2 linked regions of the Oryzias latipes genome follow. The protein of the gene in region 1 binds, or shares a complex with, the protein of each later gene. Links are inferred from orthologs where the notes say so. Each region holds a gene or a part of one and is shown in the gene's direction. Other genes may lie near its edges.

The links. The genes of interacting proteins can lie anywhere in the genome.
Region 2: mybbp1a (region 1) and dek share a complex: the UniProt entries of both Homo sapiens proteins name them as parts of the B-WICH complex. The link is inferred for Oryzias latipes from reciprocal best matches to the Homo sapiens genes MYBBP1A and DEK.

Annotation. Positions count from the first base shown.
Region 1 is NC_019872.2:24,964,316-24,967,964, reverse strand, and holds part of mybbp1a (myb-binding protein 1A), read left to right. Parts: intron 1-1,792; coding exon 1,793-1,927; intron 1,928-2,055; coding exon 2,056-2,137; intron 2,138-3,524; coding exon 3,525-3,649. UniProt on the Homo sapiens protein: May activate or repress transcription via interactions with sequence specific DNA-binding proteins. Repression may be mediated at least in part by histone deacetylase activity (HDAC activity).
Region 2 is NC_019874.2:32,321,454-32,325,534, forward strand, and holds the start of dek (protein DEK), read left to right. Parts: upstream 1-1,192; 5' UTR 1,193-1,288; intron 1,289-2,190; exon of another isoform or gene 2,191-2,448; intron 2,449-2,514; exon of another isoform or gene 2,515-2,748; intron 2,749-2,812; 5' UTR 2,813-2,825; coding exon 2,826-2,898; intron 2,899-2,931; exon of another isoform or gene 2,932-2,967; coding exon 2,968-3,069; intron 3,070-3,139; coding exon 3,140-3,249; intron 3,250-3,308; coding exon 3,309-3,403; intron 3,404-3,468; coding exon 3,469-3,598; intron 3,599-3,701; coding exon 3,702-3,977; intron 3,978-4,051; coding exon 4,052-4,081. UniProt on the Homo sapiens protein: Involved in chromatin organization.

The DNA of each region.
Region 1 (3,649 bases):
TAGTCTAGTGGGCCTTTCTGGAAATGTTCTTAAGTGGTTTTACTCTTACCTGACAGATCGACACTTTTATGTAAGTATGGATATGTGCTCTTCAGGAATCCACGAAATAAGCTGTGGGGTTCCCCAAGGGTCAATTTTAGGGCCAATACTTTTTAATTTGTATATGTTGCCTCTTGGGGAGGTCATCAGGAGACATGGCGTTGACTTTCACAGCTATGCTGACGATACACAGCTTTACATCGCCGTGTCTCCTGATGACCTGGAACCTGTCAACACTCTTTTAAACTGCATTTTAGATATAAAGTTGTGGATGGCAGAAAATTTCTTACAGCTCAACCAGGACAAAACTGAAGTTTTAATCATCGGTTCTGAAGACAAGAGAGAGATGATTTTACCACATCTTCATAATTTTAAACCTTCTCAATGTGTGAGAAACCTGGGCGTACTTTTTGACTCTGAGCTAAATTTTATCCCACACATTAAAAATGTCGTTAAGACAGGATTTTATCATCTCAAAAACATTGCCAGAGTCCGCCCGTTCCTCTCTCTTGCCAGCACAGAAGTGCTAATGCATGCTTTTATTTTCAGTCGTTTAGATTACTGTAATGCCCTGCTCTCTGGTTTACCCAAAAAGTCTCTTTCAAACTTACAACTTCTACAGAACTCAGCGGCACGAGTTCTGACGAGAACCAGAGGGCGGGAACACATTACACCGGTTTTAAAATCGCTGCATTGGCTCCCTGTGCGTTTCAGGATTGATTTTAAAATTCTTTTAATGGTTTATAAATGTTTTTATGGTCTTGGGCCTTCTTATTTAAATGATATTCTTTTAAAATATGAGCCCTCGCGGACCTTGAGGTCTTCCGGTACTGGCCTCTTAGTTGTTCCCAAGGTGAGGACCAAAACTTATGGTGAGGCTTCGTTCTGCCATCACGGTCCTCGCCTGTGGAACGGCCTTCCGGAGAGCCTCAGGGCCGCAGAGACAGTAGAGGTTTTTAAGAAGAGGCTCAAGACCCACCTTTTTAATTTAGCTTTTAGTTGATTTTAACTGCTAATTTATTCTATTAGTTTTAGTATAGGCTATTTTATTTATGTATTTATTTTAATTTTATGCATCTTATTTTCAATTTTATGTTTTTTCTTTTTTATGTTTTTAATTTTAGCATCTTATGATTTTAGCCCCAGTGTTTCTTGAGGGGATCTTTTCCTCCAGGGCTTGCCGGCTTGGTCAGCGGTTGTTGCTGCAGTTGTTGCCCTTGCTGGGGCGGCTGGGGTCTAATTTTACAGCTTTTGGCTGTGAGGGGGACCCCGGTGTTGTCCCGGTCTGGGTGGGCACTGTGGCGATGTTCCGGTGGCCGGGCTGGCTCCTGGTATGAAAGGATTCCCAGATACTGTTTCCTCACAGCAGAGCTAAGCCATACTTGTTTATTTATTTATTTATTTATTCTTTTACAGTTACATAGTCATATTTCATTGTACGTGGGAGCCATGGGTCATGTGGTTTAATGGAGGGGTGTGGGAAGGGTGAAGGGTGGGTTGGGGTTTTTATTGTAATGTTGTGTGTTTACTGTTTTTAGTGTTAAAGCGCTTCGAGCTGCACAAAGTGCATGAGAAGCGCTATTTTATAAATAAAGTTTGAAAGTTTGATCTATCAGCAGAGTTTCTTGTAGTCTGAACTTAAATGTCAAACATTTGTTCTCCTTTTTTTTCCCCTAAGCTTCATTCATTGATCACATTTGTATTTTGAATGGGATGAAGTTGATTAAAGGGCACAAACATGTTTTTCTATCAGGAACCAGCTCTGTAGGTCTAAAAGTTACTGCAGAACCGCAGGTGACAGGCAGGGGGAGCTGCATGACCTGCTGGAGAAGCTGATGACCAAATGCCAGAAACTGTCCGACTCCTCGCTGAGTCTCTACTACTTCAGGTAGAATCCTGTCTCCACTGTCATTTGGAAAGGTTTAAAAAAATAGGCCTGTGGTAAAAAGAGACAGAAAGTATAAATTGAAGTTAGAGTTAGACTCCATGTTGATCGTGTTCCTCTCCTTTCCTCAGTGCATGCCTGTATTTGGTGAAACTTCTGCGAGGAGCTCTTCCTGTCGAAGCCAAAGAGGCTCAGAAACCCACAGGACACAATGTAGGTTTATTATTTGACTTCCTTTCATGTTGTTGCCTTGCTCAGATCATTCGAGTAGGGATGGGTATCGTTAAGGTTTTAACGGTACTACTACTCTTATTGATACTGCTTTTTGATCCGGTATTTTACCGATACTCTTATAAAATAAATAAATAAATATTTTATTTCTGTTTTCATTTTAATCTAAAACAAAAGTAAATTAACTGCAGGTTTCGCTTTACCTCGGGGTCAAAACTAAGGCCGTTCATACCTGCTGAGTGTCTTGGGTGCTCAGCAGTCAGGTCTGTTCCTGGATTTTTATTGGGTCATGAAGTGTCCTGGATTACTTGGCCTCCTTTTGGTTCACCTGTCATCTTCACAGGAATCTTCTCCTTTACTTTAGTATTTGTTGTTGCTTTAAAACAAATCCATTTAGTATATTTTAAATGTTCATTTGTTGAGGTGGAAAGCCTTTAGTTCAAAAACATTTAGTAAGTAAGTAAAGCTTATTTCTTTAGCACTTTTCCCAGAAAGGATGGCATTGCAGGTCAAAACTACGACAAGAGGTAAAATGCATTAAAGCAGGCATGTCCAAAGTCCGGCCCATGAGCCAAATGCGACCCGCATTCAAATTTTCACCAACCCACTGACTCCCTTCACCAAATGAATACTATGCGGCCCACAGCGCTTTGGAAAATCTGGTTGTACAGTTTCTTGATTGTGATTGACTAAATTCTATATTATATATCTATATTATACTATATTATACAGATGATTTAATTATTTTCACCTCTCCAAATCGGCCCTCTTTGCAAAAAGATTGGACATCTTTGCATTAAAGAGAAAATCCCAAAATTGATGTTCGATTATTTTTTTATTTATTTACTTGTTACATCATGAAACCAATGCTAATAATCTGCAAAAACAATAAGCGTAGTTTTTCTGAACAACTTTTTGCAAAAAGAATCTGTTTAACAAAAGCTGTCTGACATACGCTTTTGGAAAATGGGTGAAGAAAAGACATTTTCAACGGAAAAGCTTTTATTCACAAATGAAGAAAAGAGAACAAAATGAAACCTTCTGAAAGTCTTGAAAGAACAATAATATAATCAATCCTATTATCAGAGTTTATGACTCAACAGTCAAACAGAATTTCTTTTGGATAAAACTAGATCCATTTGACAAAAATAGTAGCTTGGTTGTTATGGGGTCAGATCAGGATTGTATTAAAGAGAATGAAAAACCCAGACTGTAAATTTGAGAAGAATTATTTTATGAAAATGTAAAAAACCTTTTTAACCAGAAAGTATAGATTGTAGACTATAAAGAAATAAATGTTAAACCTAAAGGAAATTTTGCAGCCCTGCTAGGTGTGAAGAAACCCTGACATGTGTCCCTCTCTGTTTAGCTGCCGTTCATGGGCCAAGTGGACGTGGAGCGGGTCACCGGTGTCTTCAGAGAAGCTCTGGTCTCTTTCCTGAGCAGGAGGAAGAGCCCTCTGACCTCTCAGATGTTTACAGACCTGTTCAACAG
Region 2 (4,081 bases), on another chromosome or scaffold:
TGGATAAAGGTGGAAAGATTTCCTGTAATCCATGGACACCAGTGAAGATCACAAATCATTGAAGAAAAAAGGTTCAGAGCACTGTCTAGTGGGTCTAGATGACCCCACTCCCAACGTTAAAGTGTCTAGGATAGAACAAGGGTTACCTATACAATGCTACTCGCATGTCTTTGGATGATTTCACAGCTAAATATGATTCAAATAGAAAAGATTTTGAAAACATTATTAATGCCGTCCCTCAAAATGTTGTAAATCAGTCTCTGATCTGTTTCATGATGTCATCTACAGACGTCCTGCTGTCTCCACGCTTCTGGTTAATGGACACAACACAGCAACGTCCAAACCCCCCAACCACCACATCAGAGAATGTTTGAATGAAACATATTTTCCCTGCATCTCAAATCCTGACTATTTAACCCAATATTTTAATAATTCAGAAAATAAACAAATAGGAACTAAATATTTCAACCCCCCCCCCCCCCCCCCCCCCCCATCCCTCCTAAAGCCAAGGAAGTCCACTTTAACACCTTTTCAGGTATTTACCCTTCCAAGGAATTACTAAGAAAACAGTTTGGAATTCCTGAAACCTGTTGTTTTCTTCATGTGGAGATGAAACAACTGAGCAACTTTTCTCTGAATGTTTTCCTTCTAATGTCATTTGGAATAATTTACATTATTGGCTTTTCCCCAAGATTCCACGTTTAGCAGAATTTTTCTATTAAGGACATTATTTTTGGGTTTATTTTAGAAAACAAAAACACAGAACTTATTCTAAATGTTGTAATTTTTTGGGTAAATTCTCTAAACATAAATGTCGATTCCTTAAAATCATGAAGAAGTCTGCTCTTTTTTTTCATCCGTTAACGTCATGGAAAATAAACGATGGAACTTCAAAGTATCAGAGGTAATCTCCTAAGTTATTGATCATTACGATATCCATGTGAGCCCCTCATTTTATTTTATTTTAATCTTTTTATCTTTTTAAGTATTTTTCTGTATTAAACTTTTTTAATGTTGTTTACATTTTTCTATTCCTGTTGTAATTGTAACGTGTTGAATTATTTGCCACAATACTGTAAACCTCAAGTGTTTTTTCAATAAAAGAAAATAAATAAAGTAAATTAAAATGTAAGCAAAAAGAAACTTCCTCTGGTCCTCCAGACCGGTAGGGGGCGGGACCAACCCGCCTGAACCAGAAAAAGAAGACTGTCCAATGAACAGAGCGGCCGCTGTAAGCCCCGCCCTCGAAAGAAACCGCCATCGTGAAATCAAACGGGCGCAGTGACAGGTAAGCCGCGCGCGGGTCTTCATGAAACGGTGAACGTTTCCACAGCTCGCGGGATTCGTGCCGTTACTATACGTGTCTCCGAACTGCCGCCGTTCGCGTCACACGGCAGTTAAGTCAGTGCGTGCAGCGCGCGCGCGCCGCTCAAACGATTGTTTGTTTCGAACTGAGCTCTTCTGCGCATGCTCAATGGGGAACTAACCGGCGGCGCGCGGCTAGGATCTGAGCTTTTCTACTTTATGCTTAGTTTTCTTCTTTTGTTTAAGCGCACCTACCCACGTGCACGCCCTGAAACTGAGCGCGTGGCGCCTGAAAGTAGGGAGTCTGTAGGAATGGCCCAAATGGAGTCCTTTCCTTTATCAATAACAGATGACGGACATACATGCAGCCACTGTGTGGATGAAAACCCCTCTGATGAAAAACGCTGTTTTTGATGATGGAGACATAAAGAACATTAAGATATAAATGGATTTTTCTGTTTCCAAGTCGCTGTGAATCAGGAGCAGATGAAAAAAAAGACTGTTTGAAAACGCTTGTAGGTGTGAGGTAGGAGCTACAATGGGCGGGGCCGCAGTCTCAAAGCTCCGCCCCTTTCCGATCATCCACCTGCAGACCAACCGATTCATGGTCGTCTCTGTTTTCCTGGTCTGAGCTGGAATCTGGATCAGAACCGGACGGCTGGATGGCTCTGATGCTGCTGTTACACTGCTAATGTTGGGTCGTGAGGGGCTGTAAGCTAGCAGGAGAGAGTTAACGGAGGGATGATGGGATGTGGGGGTGGGCTTAAGCGTTCCTGCCCACAACAGAATTTCTGATGAGCTCTGCAGAAACTGTGTCCCACAAAACAACACAGCTTTTTGGGTTTTGTCTAAAAAGGACCTCATCAGTAAAAGACGACTCTGGAATCGGATCAACAGATGAACTTTAATGCATAAAAACATCAACGATGGTCCGGACTGCAGAGTTCGTCCTCCTAAAACTACGGATCCTGGAATAAAGGATCGTCCGGACTGATGTTAGTGAAAATCACGACTGATCCGTCTAAATCCTCCAGTTCTTTACATCCGTGTCTTCTGGGTCCGGATCAGAGGTGTTTAAGGTTCCGCCTTAACTGACCCGCCAACGGGAGAACTGGGTTCTGCAGCCGGTCCTGTCATTCTACCCTGGAATAAGGAAACGTTTCAGGTTAGCGGTGTCTGTGACCTTTGACCCCGCCCATGCACTTGATGGAAGTTCCCTTTGGAAAACGTTAGTCTGAAGCTCCTCAGCAGAGACTTGAACGTGACCCGCTGGTGTAACGTCTGCAATGTTCAGGATGAAGACGACCAAACGGTTTCATGGAATTTTACCGCCGATCGTGTTTCTAACCCGGTTGGAACGCGACCACACGCGGATCAGAACCAAAGCGTTTTCTTCTACAGAGTAGAAGTTCTCCTGGAACGGCTCTGGTTCTGTCCGTTCCGGTGAGCTCAAATCAAAGGCTGTGTGTGATGTCATTGTTTGTAACGGTGATGTCATCATCTGCAGGACTCGCGCCGCCATGGGCAGCTCCGCGGCGTCTGAGGAGGACCGTGAGGAGGCGGGTCCGGACCGGAGCGGATCCACGGAGTCCTGTGAGGACGACGGAGCTATTCAGGTGAGCTCACCTGCGTACCTGCTGCTGAACGTCTGCTCTGCTGCAGCCGGGGGGGGCGACGTCCTCCAGGGGAAGCGGGCCAAGAAGACGGTGGAGAGGCTGGACCTCCAAGCCCCCAAGCAGAAGGAGAAGCTGAAGATCGGAGACGGTGAGCGGCCGGAGCCAGCCCGACCACTGTGGACCAGCAGCTGACCACAGGTTCGATTCCCGCCCTGCAGGTACTGGAGACAAGCTGGGGGACATTCCTCGCACCGCCCACCAGATCAGCAGGATGAAGCCAGCAGACCTGAAGCCGCTCCATTCCATCCTGTACGACCGACCCGGGAAGGTAAAGCCCACAGGCGGCCCGGTCCGCTGAGAACGTTGTGCTGACCGAATCCCTTCCAGGTGTCCACCATGAAGAGGAACCTGCGTCTCTTCAACGGGTTCCCCTTCCAGGCGGACAGCGAGCAGTTCCACCGGAAACGGGACAAGCTGCTGAAGTGAGTGAGAGCCGGAAGAAGGTCCGCTGGTCTCTGGCAGAAACCACAGCCGCTCGTCTCCACAGGAGCTCCAACCTGAGCAACAGCAAGCTGAAGGTGGTCTGCACCGTGCTGGACCTGGAGAAGAAGGGCACCCACGCCGACCTCATCCACAGGATCCTCAGCTTCCTGCTGGCGCCCAAGAACAGCGGCAAGGTGAGTCCAGACCTGGGACCCCAAGGAGGACCCGGCTCCTCTGGAGAGGAGCCACCTTCCTCCTTCAGCTGCTCCTCTCAGCACCTCCTGCTTCCTCCTTCAGCGCCTTCCTGTGAAGAAGAGGAGGAGGTCCAAGAAGAAGCTGACCAGTGAGGACTCCAAGAAGAAGAGCAGGCCCAGAGAGCGCAGCTCCTGCAGCCCCAAGAAGTCCAGAACAGGAAGCAAGTCCAAAGCCATCGTCATGGACTCCAGCAGCGACGACGAAGACGAGGACGAAGACGAGAAGACGGGAGCTTCGGCTACGGCGGCAGAGTCTGACGGAGAGAAACCTGCTGATGAAGAGGAGCAGCCCTCAGAGAGATCAGACAATGAAGAGCAGGTAAGTCAATATTGATTGACAGCAGAGACTGACCAATCACAGAGCAGCATCCAGAAGTCATCTGGGTTCACCAGTCTTCCAGGTCGGACTCGGACCGAACCAAG